Linked DNA regions of Xenopus tropicalis. The protein of the gene in region 1 binds, or shares a complex with, the protein of each later gene. Links are inferred from orthologs where the notes say so. Each region holds a gene or a part of one and is shown on either strand. Other genes may lie near its edges.

Region 1 (6,931 bases):
AACAAGATGAAGGAGGTCCCTGCCCCGTAGAGCTTACAATCTATATGGGAGGGGTAACTAACAGACACAAATGGGCAAATGTAAGTGCTGTAGGTCACAGTGGGTGATACTACAATATAAGTGCCAGTTCCCACTGGCGACTCCTATTGTTGCCTTTTCAAAGCGTTTTTTTTTGCGCGCAGCAGAGATCTATTGTGGGCTCTTACCCTAAAGCATAGTAGCAGTTTTTCCCTCTTAGATCTGTAAAATTACAATGTGATTTCCCCTTTTTTACTTCTTCAAGGCTTATACCACATGCTGAGCTTTTCAGTCAGTGTATTTCAGTTGGCTGAGACATGGCCAAACCCTTACATAACATTATTATAGCCCCCCGCCCATAGTTTGAATCCACAAATCCACACTTTTTTTCTTTCCTGTGTAGTGCATTGGGGCTAAAGGGCCAACGTGCACTGCAAGTGGTTGCCTAGACCAGTCTGGACTTGCTCCATATCTGCAATCAGTTGAGGAAGAAGATTAAGCGTGGTGAGATAGTGCCCCTTTTTTGACTGGTTTGGCTAAGGCTAAATTGCATTGACTACATTTTTAAAAGTTGCAGGGACTGGTCGTGCCGTGTATCTTTGCCCTTAAGCATGCATTGGAGCCAGCAGAAATAGATATATACTGCCCGAAAGGTGCTGGATGTTAAATCAGTGTTGGCCTGCTGTGTTATTTTCGCTCACAACAATATCTTTAAAGGTCTAATTAGACTAAACCAATATATTGTGTATCACATGTAGTAAGCAAATGTTTGTCTTTTCTTACAGGGAGCTATTTTTGCTATGACAATCCAGCTGCTCTGCAAACACAGGTTCAAGCAGTAAGTAACATTTATTTATATATTATCTCTAATGTAGGTGGGGGAGGAGTACTAGAAAAAAGAGACAGGTTATAGATATAGGGGATTCAGTTCAGTGTATGTTTACGAATGCAAGAAGCCTGACTGATCAAATAGGAGAGCTGGAGATGCTGGCACTAGAGGGTGAAATGTATGATGTACTTGGTGTTGCTGAAATATGGCTGAATTAGTCACATGACTGACCAGTAAATCTAGGAGGCTATACTTTGTTTCGAAGGGGCAGGGGAAATAGAAAAGGATGAGGGGCATGTATGTTTGTTAAGCAGGGCTTAAAAGCCATTGTTAAGGAAGAAGTGTGATGATGGAAAATGTGGGAGCTGAATCCTTATGGGTGGACCCTTTCACAGATTAAGAATCCATCAAATTAATTGTAGGGGTATTCTACAGCCCCCCCCAATGTAAATAAAGAGGAAGCTCCTGTTGCAAATAGAAAAAAGGCTACTAGATTGCGGTGAGTAATGATAATGGGGGATTTTGAAGGTGTTTACCTTTAAATTTTAGTATGATGTAGAGAGTGCTATTTGAGACAATTTGCAATTGGTCTTCATTTATTATTAATTGCGGTTTTTAAATTATTTAGCATTTCAGCAGCTCTCCAGTTTGGAATTTAAGCAGCTGTCTGGTTGCTATGGTCCAGTTTAACTTAGCAACCAGGCAGGGGTTTGAATGAGAGACTGGGATATGAATAGTAAGAGGGTCAAAATAAAAAAGTACCGTATATACTCAAGTATAAGCCGAGTTTTTCAGCACGAAAAATGTGCTTAAAAACTCATGCTCAGCTTATACTCGAGTGAATATAGGCTGCGCTGGCATTCGGTGCGTACGCCACACACCCATCCCCCCCCGTGTGCGGGGTGTGGCATACGCGCCGAATGCCAGCGCAGCCTGAAGAGCTATAGGAAACCTTTGCCTTTTCTTTGAGGAAGGAGCTCTCCAAAAAAGCAGCTAACTTGCTCCTGGCACCTGAAATTCTATCTCTGACATACTGCACTGACAACACCAGAATGAGAGGTAGGAAAGGAAGGAGAGATGCATAGCATCCAGGGTTGGTGCTAAAGTATCTGATTGCTGGCCACCAGCACAGATTGGAAGTTTTAGCCATACCTTTAGGGCTAATCAACTGGATGTATATTTTATGTTTTCTTACTATATAATTTTACATTAGGCCATTTCCAGTCTTCATGCTTTCTCCTTTTTTTCTAGTTTTTTTTTCTAGAAGAGGACAAATTAAGATTGCTGTATTATCATAGCATATGTCTGAATCTAGCCAAGGCGTGTATAAGATCTTTACCTAGAAATTCTGACAAGCAGCAGTTGAGAACACTGCTCTGATTGGTGGGAGATTCAGTGCTTTGCTCACAGTAGCTAGGCATCGGGCACAGCCTTCCAGATGGGAGTGAGTAAAATTATTTTAGGCTCCATCCACCTTTCCCTAATCACCTTTCCCTAATCTGCAGCTGCCAACATTTTATATTTATTATGAGTTGACATGGGGTCACGCTGAGTGTCCTTTATTAATTATTTGATTATTGAAACTTAGCAGTAGCTGCTGCATTTCCCACCCTAGGCTTATACTCGAGTCAATAAGTTTTTACAGTTTTCTTAGGTAAAATTAGGTACCTCGGCTTATATTCGGATCGGCTTATATACAGTAATAAAAAGTGACAATAACATTGTAGCCTCACAGAGTAATCATTTATGGCCTGTTGGGGTCAGTGACCCCCATTGGAAAGCTGGAAAGAATCAGAAAAGAGAGGCAAATAATTGCAAAAATATAAAAAATGAAGACCAATTGAAAAGTTGCTAAGAACAGGCCATTCTATAACATACTAAAAATTAACCTGCAGGTGAACCACCCCTTTATTACTCAGGTGTAAACTGGCAAATGTGCAAGTAGTGGAAACCCTGGGTAATAATGACTATAATGTTATCTCATTTAATGTTTGGAGTTAAAAGCACATATACAGTGGGGCAACAAAGATTCTGAATTTCAGAAAAGTAAATTTTAGCTCCTTGCGGGCAGTACTTCAGAGCATAGTTTGTGGTGGTACGTTTTCTTCTGAAAACACAAAACAGAAATGGTTGTAATTTTAAATGATGTTAAATCAATAATATTCTGGATATACTTTAAAAAGTAAATGTAGGACCTTTAAGGACAACCCTAGGGGGCCGATTCATTAAAACACGAGTTCGAATCCCGAAAAATTCGGATTGGAATACGATAATTTCTGAAGATCGCAAATATCACGAAAATGCTTACGAAAAAATCGGATTAGTCACGATAATAGCGGATGGGCAATCCGAAAGTCACGAAATTTTCATACCGAACGATTGTAAACAGCGGCAGAACGTTTCTGAATTTTTCACGCACGTGCACGAAAGAGTCTTGCAAGCGTACGAAAAAGTGGTGCAGGCGCGAAAAAATCGGTGAAAATACGCTTGGAGCGTTCGTGTCTTAATAAATCTCCCCCTATGTGTAAATCTGTAAGTAAAGTAAATCAGTGCTTTGTGCTCTGCCAGCTTTGTTAAAATGAGCCCTGCAGGGCACAGCAGTCCTAGTGGAGGGCTAATCTGATGGCCTGCCTTGCTTAAAACAGACCAATTGTTGCTGAACAATTTTTTTTTTTTGAATAATCTGAATCTGAATAATTTGTTTGTTTTTTTTTGTTTTTTTAAATAAAGGATATGAAGGTGAACACAGCAGACTTTATGCAATTATATGCATTTTACTCTTGGCCCAATGTTGTACTGTGTTTTTTTGGAGGATTTCTGATTGACCGAGTTTTTGGAATTAGGTAAGCTTGCTTCCATTTGGTATTCATTCTTAAGTTTGAAATGAATGTATAAGACAGTAATGAGACAGTGTGCCTTAGAGGTGATATATAGTGAAAATGAAAAATATATGTATAGCAGTATTACAACTAACATGAATTGTAATAACGGCGCCATTTTAATATTTGTTACAAATATTTTCGACCTATTAAAAATCGTATTTATTGTCATCTGTGCAGTGATTAAAGGTGTGGTCCATAGCCATGATTAATGGTGTGGTTCTGCACAGCACTTGATCACACTTTCCCATAAAGATCCTGTGGCATTACCCTAAAATAATATTGCTGATGTACTGATAAGCTTTCATATATGTTGATGGCAAGTTACTGAATAAATATTTCAAAGGTGATTGATACTATTGTTTGTTTGTTTCCATAGGCTGGGCACCATAATATTTAGTTTGTTTGTTTGTGTAGGACAGGTAAGCATAACTTTTTATAAAGTAATGTATATATCACACTCAAGTGGCAATAATAATGAAAAAGTTTTAGCCTGTCATTTGCTTGCATATTTCCTGTTAAAGTAACAGTAATACCAGGTCCTATACCTGTACCTATAAAAAATAATTTAAATATTATTTAACACTGATAAACAAAACGTCATATTTTCACCTGGTTAGACATTCCAATTATGAACCCATCAGTCCTTTTAAGCTGATTCAAAGGTGAGTCTGGAGTTTCTGTACCCTGGAAAGGCAATCTGTGATTATTGTATTGTTGTTACTTCCTAGGTCATATTTGCAACAGGAGCTTTAGTTAATGCATTTTGGCTGATGGAAGCTGGGCGATTAGTGTTTGGGTGAGTATAAAAGTGTACCGTCCCTAGGAATTACAAACTTCTAGGGATTATGCCAGTTGTTGTATTGTGAACCTATCCACCGAGCACTTTCGTTATGACATCCTGATGCCAGGATGCTTTTGAGCTCCCCCCACAGCTGTGAGCTGTATGAGTGCGCTACAAGTTACTCAACCCCTTTATCCAAGCAGAGAATGCAGATATTCTAGATGTTGCTGTAACCTGTGATATAGGGGCAGAATAACATTATACCTGTGAAAATTATGGGATTTCGAAAGAGAGGGAAGCAGCATTTGTGAACAGATTTGCATGCTATGTGGCTACTAAATGATAATAATTACAACATACTTTTTGCACACCCACTATTTCCCCTTGCCTTATGGTATTCCTTCTCTTAACTTGCAGAATTGGTGGAGAGTCACTAGCTGTTGCACAAAATACCTATGCAGTCAGTTGGTTCAAAGGAAAAGAACTGAACCTGGTATTTGGCCTGCAGCTTAGTATGGCTAGAGTGGTAAGTTCCAATAGTCCAATCTGAAGTTTAACCCCTTCATAGCCACAGCAGCAAGAACAAATCATGACTGCCGGATTTGTCACTACATTCATTCATGCCACAATTGGCACCTTTCATACATTTATAGTCTTCATTTATCTATAAGTGCACAGGCATTATATATAGGTTTAGTAGCTTTGAACCTGTAAAAGCATGCTGTTCTTCTTTGCACACATCCTGCCCATCCAGTTCCATTGTTATCAGAGGATTTCTATGATATACAGTGGTGCTTGAAAGTTTGTAAACCCATTATACCATTAAACCCATATATATATATATATATATTATTTTGGATTTTGCTTTAAATTTTATTTACAAATTTTAATGAACACATCAATTAATGATAGTTTTGATTTTCAGGGCAGCACGGTTAATATGAATGTTATGGGTCTTGTATACAGTAGGATAAAGGATCACATGGGTGCTGCTGGCTACAGTACACTTGGTGTCACCCTTATGATTGGTAAGTTTGTGTGGTGATGGTTGAAAGATACTCAGCGTAAAGCAGTGTGACTTTCTTGGGAAGTAGATTATGGTTAAACATGTACCATTTGTTAGGTTCGATATTGAAAGATTTACAGTTGTACAGTCCATGTTAAAGGTACACAGACCTTCTTAATTTATATTTTGTAAGTTATCTTTAGAATGTTTTTTTTGATTAAACAGATCTGATGGCCTTGCCATTAGTAACAGTCTCCACAGCCCATGTGCCTAAAATACAAGCAACAAGATTCTTTTTCGATGCATTAATGCTTTAAGGTGTGCTTGGCCAAAAAATTTGTTTATGCCATGCAACATATTATAATATATATAATCACATAAATATGTAAATAGTAATTTGAAGCTTTATATTTGATGCAGTTACTCCGTCATGGCTCTGTATTTCACAGCCGAATACACATACTAGTCTACAAATTATGGGCAGAGAGATGGTCATCATCATTTATATAGCGCCAGCAAGTTACTTAGTGCTTTACATTAATTTATAGCAAACAGGAGTCTTAAAATAATTTAACAAACAAGGTTTCATGAGTAAAAATAAAATCAGAGGGCCCTAATCTCAAGAGCTTGCAGTCTAAAGAGTCATGAAGTTTCTGGATCTCATTTGACCCCCTGATACATTAAACAATCAGAAATGTGGTGGAAAGTAATCTGACTGAGAGAGATAAAACGACGGGAGTTAGAGGAATATTAAAGAACAGTATGCGTATGAGTTTCATACACCCTTCTTTTATTTGACTTGCAGGGGCTGTAACCTGTATTTTCTCTCTAATATGTGCTCTTGTACTTGGCTATCTGGACAAACGTGCTGAAAAAATACTCGACAAAGAACAGGGGAAAACAGGTTAGTTGAGAGAGCCTAACTAGTAGAAATGTGAATATCTGTGCAGGATGCTACCCTCATGTTGTTAATTTAAATTTGAAAGAAACAATGAATGCTGCTGAATACATGTATGGGAATCTCTTATCTGTAAACCAAATATCCAGGAAACTTCAATAATAATAATTCTAGTTATTTTTAAATAATTCTTTTTTCTCTGTAATAATAAAATAGTACCAAGTACTTGATGGTAACTAAGCTGCATAAATTAACATTGGTGGCAAAACAATCCTATAGTTTTTTTTATATCTTTTATGTTTTAAGCAATAAAATAATACAACCATTAAACAGTTATTTGTTTTACAAAATAGTAATAATCCTATTTTTTTTATGTTTAAATACTTTTCTGTAGACTTGGTATGGTGATCCACATTACATAAAACCCCTAATCCCAAGCATTTCGGACAATAGATCCCATACCTGTATATAATTTGTTTTTTTGAAAGTTGTTTGTATTTATTTTCCTCTGCCACAT
Region 2 (7,669 bases), on another chromosome or scaffold:
ACAACATGGGTATTAGTAGGAGTTTCTGTGAGACTGGGGGGCACAACATGGGTATTAGTAGGAGTTCTGTGAGACTGGGGGCACAACATGGGTATTAGAGTTCTGTGAGACTGGGGGCACAACATGGGTATTAGTAGGAGTTCTGTGAGACTGGGGGCACAACATGGGTATTAGTAGGAGTTCTGTGAGACTGGGGGGCACAACATGGGTATTAGTAGGAGTTCTGTGAGACTGGGGGGCACAACATGGGTATTAGTAGGAGTTCTGTGAGACTGGGGGGCACAACATGGTTATTAGTTATAGTTCTATGAGACTGGGGGGGCTTGTCGGCACCCCCACAATACATGGGTATCAGTAGTGCTGGGCGGTATACCGGTAAAAACCGATCACCGTTTTGTTTTTTTGAAACCGATATGAATTTTCTACATACCCCCATACCGGTGTGCTGAATACTTCCGGGTGCGCACGTGACGTCAGCGCGCACACTCTACAAAAGCGCCATCACTAGGACGCATTCAGAGTCGGATACCAATGTGAGCTGTCGGGGGGTTCCTGGCCAGTAATTATATTTTATGTGAAGGGGATGGGTGGGGGTGGGTGGGTTATACTTATGTGAAGGGGATGGGGTTGTGTTTGGGTGGGGTGGGGTGGGGGGTTATATTTATGTGAAGGGGATGGGGGGGTGTTTGGGGTGGGGGTGGGTGGGTTATACTTATGTGAAGGGGATGGGGGGGTGTTTGGGGGGGGTGGGGTGGGGGGTTATATTTATGTGAAGGGGATGGGGGGTGTTTGGGGTGGGGTGGGGGGTGTGTGTGCGGATGGGGGGGTGTTTGGGGTGGGGGGGGTGCGTGGGGGTGGGGGGGGGTGCGTGCGGATGGGGGGTGTTTGGGGTGGGGGGGTGCGTGCGGATGGGGGGGTGGGGGGGCTGCGTGCGGATGGGGGGGTGTTTGGGGTGGCGGGGGGGTGCGGGTGGCGGGTGTTTGGGGTGGTCACCTAATCATGCATGGGGGAAAAAAAATACCGTCAAATACCGTGATACCGATATAATTTTGAAAAATACCGTGATATAAATTTTTGGTCATACCGCCCAGCACTAGGTATCAGGCAGCAGGGGGCAGTTACATGGGGCGGGGCTAGAGGGGCATTCTGTGCTACTGCTGTGCCAAACCATTAGTGCTACAGTACTGGGAGGAGCTGAAGGGGTTAATGACATGCCCAATCACAGCTCTGTGTGTCCTCTGGTTCCCTTTGTCCCAGCACAGCCACTTCTGCTTTCTGATTCGCTGGCAGCTGCATTCCTTCCATTAACCCTTTCTTCCCTGCATGTCGTACTACCCACTCCCCTACATACCCCTGTATAATGCCCCCTCCCCTACATACCCCTGTATAATGCCCCTCCCCTACATACCCCTGTATAATGCCCCCTCCCCTACATACCCCTGTATAATGCCCCCTCCCCTACATACCCCTGTATAATGCCCCCTCCCCTACATACTCCTGTATAATGCCCCCTCCCCTACATACCCCTGTATAATGCCCCTCCCTACATACCCCTGTATAATGCCCCCTCCCCTACATACCCCTGTATAATGCCCCCTCCCCTACATACCCCTGTATAATGCCCCCTCCCCTACATACCCCTGTATAATGCCCCTCCCCTACATACCCCTGTATAATGCCCCCTCCCCTACATACCCCTGTATAATGCCCCCCCTCCCCTACTTACCCCTGTATAATGCCCCCCTCCCCTACATACCCCTGTATAATGCCCCCTCCCCTACATACCCCTGTATAATGCCCCTCCCCTACATACCCCTGTATAATGCCCCTCCCTACATACCCCTGTATAATGCCCCCTCCCCTACTTACCCCTGTATAAAGCCCCTCCCCTACATACCCCTGTATAATGCCCCTACATACCCCTGTATAATGCCCCCTCCCCTACTTACCCCTGTATAAAGCCCCTCCCCTACATACCCCTGTATAATGCCCCTACATACCCCTGTATAATGCCCCTCCCCTACATACCCCTGTATAATGCCCCCCTCCCCTACATACCCCTGTATAATGCCCCTCCCCTACATACCCCTGTATAATGCCCCCTCCCCTACATACCCCTGTATAATGCCCCCTCCCCTACATACCCCTGTATAATGCCCCCCTCCCCTACATACCCCTGTATAATGCCCCCCTCCCCTACTTACCCCTGTATAATGCCCCTCCCCTACATACCCCTGTATAATGCCCCCCTCCCCTACATACCCCTGTATAATGCCCCCCTCCCCTACATACCCCTGTATAATGCCCCCCTCCCCTACATACCCCTGTATAATGCCCCCCTCCCCTACATACCCCTGTATAATGCCCCCCTCCCCTACATACCCCTGTATAATGCCCCCCTCCCCTACATACCCCTGTATAATGCCCCCCTCCCCTACTTACCCCTGTATAATGCCCCTCCCCTACATACCCCTGTATAATACCCCTCCCTACATACCCCTGTATAATGCCCCCCTCCCCTACATACCCCTGTATAATGCCCCCTCCCCTACATACCCCTGTATAATGCCCCCCTCCCCTACATACCCCTGTATAATGCCCCCTCCCCTACATACCCCTGTATAATGCCCCCCTCCCCTACATACCCCTGTATAATGCCCCCCTCCACCTACATACCCCTGTATAATGCCCCCCTCCCCTACATACCCCTGTATAATGCCCCCTCCCCTACATACCCCTGTATAATGCCCCCTCCCCTACATACCCCTGTATAATGCCCCCCCCCCCTACATACCCCTGTATAATGCCCCCTCCCCTACATACCCCTGTATAATGCCCCCTCCCCTACATACCCCTGTATAATGCCCCCTCCCCTACATACCCCTGTATAATGCCCCCCTCCCCTACATACCCCCTGTATAATGCCCCCTCCCCTACATACCCCTGTATAATGCCCCCCTCCCCTACATACCCTGTATAATGCCCCCCTCCCCTACATACCCCTGTATAATGCCCCCTCCCCTACATACCCCTGTATAATGCCCCCTCCCCTACATAACCCCTGTATAATGCCCCCCTCCCCTACATACCCCTGGTATAATGCCCCCCCCCCTACATACCCCTGTATAATGCCCCCCTCCCCTACATACCCCTGTATAATGCCCCTCCCCTACATACCCCTGTATAATGCCCCCTCCCCTACATACCCCTGTATAATGCCCCTCCCCTACATACCCCTGTATAATGCCCCCCTCCCCTACTTACCCCTGTATAATGCCCCCTCCCCTACATACCCCTGTATAATGCCCCTCCCCTACTTACCCCTGTATAATACAGAACAGACTCACCTCCCGGCTCTGCTCCTGCCCCAGGGCCCCTACACACAGGAGCCCGAACAGGAGCAGCCGCCACCCCCGGTCACTAGCCATTTCCCCGACTGCCGCTTCTGTTTCCCCGGTATCGCTTCCGGCTTGTCACATGATCAGTCAGGTGACGCGCTGACTCCCATGATGCCCCGGGGCAGACAGGCGCTGACTCCCATGATGCCCCGGGGCAGACAGGCGCTGACTCCCATGATGCCCCGGGGCAGACAGGCACTGACTCCCATGATGCCCCGGGGCAGACAGGCGCTGACTCCCATGATGCCCCGGGGCAGACAGGCGCTGCTCTTGGCGCTCAGGGATCGCTTGCGGGCCGATTGGCCCCAGTGAGTGCGGGCAGAGCCAGTAACATACGGAGGCCGCAATAGCCCAATATAAAGCCGGGGTCTGTCAGGCGGCCTTTGCCCAATACAGGGCTCTGCGGGGGGTACGGGCCCCGGCTGGGAGAGACTCAAACTGCCCAATTGCCTATGGCTCTTACTGCTGCCCCTCAGGCATTTGCCCCCTCTATGGGGAGACGCAAGGACTATATATTATATAGGGAAGTGGGGGGGGGGGGGGGGCAATTACCCCACAAATGGTAGCCAAATGGCTAGAAACATGGGTGGGTGATGTTGCCCATAGCAACCAATCAGAGCTTTTGTTTTCCAACTTGTAGGTGTTAAAATCCAATTGCTCATTGGTCGCTCACCGGTAATACACTCTATAATAAACATTCCCCATTTCCCAAACTGCCTCTGTCATATGGGGCTGTCAGACTTTGGTGTCCCCCACCCCAGAGAGTCCAACCAAGCATTACACATTTAGTATTAACCCAACCTGATGTAATCACACCCAGCAACTTGCTTCATTCTAAGGCCTCTATGAACCCCAGTCATGCCCCCATATCCATAGCAGAGCCAAGGGATTGGTCTGTACACATAGGACGCACATCGGCAGCACTGAGCATGCCCAGGATAGTGCAAAAAGCTAGTGAGAGAGCAGAGAGGGGACCCACTTTGCCTTTGTGCCCCTGGACTTGTGCATTTAACTATATGATTTTCTATAAGAGATCAGTTTAAATCATTGCAAAATACTGAGCCCCCCCCGCCCACACCATACTGTGCTGCATCTGGGGTAGGAACCTTGGGACACACCCAAACACACTTGTATATTACACATTGCTCGTTTTAGCAGGAATATTACAAAGGCTTTATTTCCCCTTTAAACATCAATGAAACCCTGTCCTCTAGCTGCCGAATCATTTATCCCAATAGAAGCTGTGCCCCCCCTCCCCCCGGGTTTCAAATACAGCAGCAAAATGTTACACTACTTCAGATTTGTCAAAAAAAAAAAAAAAAAAAAAACACACCTTTTCCTATTTAAAGGGTAAGTAAAGCATCATTGCATTATACACCTATGGGGAATAGTCTAATTTAGATCTATTATATATATTTTCGGGGTGCAGGTTTATACAAATGACACCCCATAAATCAGGCAAACACACACAAGTGGAATCCAAACGAAGTTTTATTGTCGGTAGCGAATCGTTACATAGATGTTTCTCTTACAATCTCCCCTAAGCCTCCCGTCAGGCTCCTCCCACACCGTAATAAATAGAACGTTTCCGCCCTGCCAGGATGCGGATACAGAGGCGGTGGGCGGAGACAACAGCTTTAATGAAAAAAATAAAATAAAGCTGTTCAAGTGCTTCGGTGGGACGCCGGCGCCGTTCCGTCCTTTACTCTCCCTCCTCATTCTGCTTCTGGGGGGGCCTGTGGGCCGGGGGCTGCCGGCTGCCTGCCGTGGTCTTCTCCCTTTCTCTTGTGGCCCGATACGATGTCGTCAATGCGGAGCAGCAGAATGGCCGTCTGTGGGGAAGGAAACAATGCGACTGTAAAAAATTATAGCCCCCACGCCCGCCATTTTGTTTTCACCGTCTTGTCCAGCTTTATAAATATAAACCCGGGCATGTTCTGTATGCGAATTATATAGATGAGCCCCACACCTTTTGCCAGAGCTGGACTGGGGGGTTCAGGGGCCCCTAAGGCAATAGCCACAGTGGGCCCTCTACCCCCCCCCAGTCCGACCCTGGCAAAGAGTGTGGGGCTCATCTATATAATTCACACAGCCCAATGGGCCCCCCTGCGCAGCCTTCACACCCCCCCCTCCCCTGAGCGTGCGTAAATGAAAAGTAACTTAATTGCTACCATTAACCCTTCATTCCCACCCAGAACACATCTACAGAACCAATACCAGAACTAGATTCTGTGCGGTGCAAAAGTGGGCAGCATGGGAAGGGTTAACTACCCATCAGGCCTTACCTCCACTGCAGTTTTGTAGGTTTGCAGCTTGACAGCCAGCGGCTCCCAGATGCCCAATTCCTTCATGTCGACCAGAACTCCGGCCTCCCCATCCACTCCCCAGGTCTGGCAGCCTTCCTGTGTGTGTTTGGCCTGGGGAACAGAGCGGCAGGGATATTATTGGGGGACACGGTGGGACTCTAAATGCAGCCCCACGCAAGTTACTGGCCCAGCTTATAGGAGAAGGAAAGGTGGAGTCTGCCAATTTCTTCAGTCTTCATTAAACTTCACTCACACTTTACTGCTGCACTGCAAGTTGGAGTGATATCCCCCCCCTCACCCCCAGCAGCCGATCAGCAGAACAATGGGAAGGGAGCAAGATAGCATCTCCCAGTAGGTATCGGAATAGCACTCAATAGTAAGAAATCCAAGTCCGGCTTGGGACTCCTCCAGTTACATGGGAGTAGGAGAAACAATAGGTTAGCTGAAAGCAGTTCTAATGGGTAGCGCTGGCTGAAAGCTCAGACTCAGGCACAATGCACTGAGATGGCGCCTACACACCAATATTACAGCTACAAATACATTTGTTGGTTCCACCTTTCCTTCCCCTTTAAAAGCCTTTATATACCGGCCAATGAAGCTGCAGAATTTCCCTGGGACTTACCCTCAGAGACGTGAGTACACGGATGGTGCTGGCGCCGCAGTTCTGTACGAGAGTCCTGGGTATGACCTCGAGGGCCTGGGCCACTGCGCGGTACGGCCATTGCTCCACCCCCGTCATGGTCTTGGATTTCTCAGTGAGGATATGAGCCACGCTCATCTCGGCAGCTCCACCCCCCGGCACCAGGTGAGGGTCGATGACCACGTTGCGACAGACTTGCATGGCATCCTGCAGGTTACGCTCTACCTCCTGCGGGAAAGGAATAAGGTTAAAAAAAAAAAAAGGGGGGGGGGGCGGAGAAAAGCAGAGGATGCTGGGAGGCACTTACTGCCAGGATCTCTTTGCTGGCTCCGCGCAGGACAATGGTGCAGGCTTTGGGGTCCTTGCACTCGGTGATGAAGGTGAAATACTCATCTCCGATCTTCTTGATTTCGAAGAGCCCGGCGCCAGTTCCGACGTCTTCTTCGCGCAGCTCGTCTGTGCGGCTGCCTATGCGAGCGCCACAGGCTCTGCCGGGAACAGGACGGGGCAGGAAGGTCAAGTACAGCAAAGAAAACTGTCCCCACTGCCGTTTATTGCCCCATTGCCAGGGCTGACTGAGCCCCCCCAAACCTCATTACTTCCCTGAAGGCCCCAATGGATAAGGGTCACTGGTGTTCTCCAAATCCCACCTAACTGGGGCCCCCCGTCGGTATAGAAGCAGGATTTCTGTATGAGGGGGGGTCTCACCTTGCTATTCTGTTGTTGTCAGTTTTGCGGACTCTGCGTATGGCCGTGATGTTGGCCTTCACCAGGTAATGCTGAGCCAGATCTGGAATAAACAAATTGCATTAGAAATAGGGAAGGCGGAGTCTCTTGCCCCATGGGGGTATTTAGGGGGTATATTTATCATGCTGTGTAAAAAGTAGGGCCGAATCCGGCTTTATTTTTTTTTTATGGATTTGGTTTCGGCCGAAGCGATGGTTCCGGCCGAACCGAATCATAAATAGCATTCAGAAAGGGTTAAATGGTACTGGGAAAATTTTTTGTTGCAGCGTGCAGAGCGCGTGACAACTTTTAACCCTTCGGCCGAACCCCCAAAAAGTGGGTTCGGTGCATCCCTAGTAATAAGTGGAGTGAAACATTACCAGTGATGTTGCCCAGAGGAAGCAAATTAGATTTCAACAATTAGAAAACCAAAGCATCTGATTGGTTGCTACGAGCAACATCATTGGTAATGTTTAACTCCACATGATAAATATACCCCTAGGGGTGCATAAATATGGCCCCAGGGGCTGCTGCAGGGTGCCATGGACACAGGGCCTGTGGCTAGGGGGTATTTATACATAGGTAACTGGGTGCCGGTG

The links.
Region 2: the proteins of mfsd1 (region 1) and glmp are in contact, whole or in part, in a cryo-EM structure (PDB 8R8Q), measured with the Mus musculus proteins. The link is inferred for Xenopus tropicalis from reciprocal best matches to the Homo sapiens genes MFSD1 and GLMP. Residues at the interface, in NP_080089.1 of Mus musculus: Val288, Glu292, Lys293, Arg295, Phe349, Phe351, Leu411, Asp412, Lys414, Gly415, Tyr416, Leu417, Leu418, Val421, Ile424, Ser428, Leu432, Val435, Leu439; in NP_064387.1 of Mus musculus: Glu250, Asn252, Ser253, Ile254, Asp255, Asp256, Glu257, Pro260, Ala261, Phe263, Gln264, Arg292, Phe364, Leu367, Val368, Ile371, Met372, Ala375, Ala378, Leu381, Met382, Gly385, Phe389.

The regions. Positions count from the first base shown.
Region 1 is NC_030681.2:115,201,761-115,208,691, reverse strand, and holds part of mfsd1 (major facilitator superfamily domain-containing protein 1), read left to right. Parts: intron 1-803; coding exon 804-856; intron 857-3,577; coding exon 3,578-3,690; intron 3,691-4,105; coding exon 4,106-4,148; intron 4,149-4,457; coding exon 4,458-4,525; intron 4,526-4,927; coding exon 4,928-5,036; intron 5,037-5,435; coding exon 5,436-5,538; intron 5,539-6,321; coding exon 6,322-6,420; intron 6,421-6,931. UniProt on the Homo sapiens protein: Lysosomal dipeptide uniporter that selectively exports lysine, arginine or histidine-containing dipeptides with a net positive charge from the lysosome lumen into the cytosol.
Region 2 is NC_030684.2:142,075,357-142,083,025, reverse strand, and holds the start of glmp (glycosylated lysosomal membrane protein), read right to left. Parts: upstream 3,872-7,669; 5' UTR 3,667-3,871; intron 3,535-3,666; 5' UTR 3,429-3,534; coding exon 3,348-3,428; intron 1-3,347. Other genes in the region: cct3 (T-complex protein 1 subunit gamma), read right to left, coding at 5,114-5,230, 5,684-5,815, 6,327-6,572, 6,652-6,832, 7,053-7,134. UniProt on the Homo sapiens protein: Required to protect lysosomal transporter MFSD1 from lysosomal proteolysis and for MFSD1 lysosomal localization.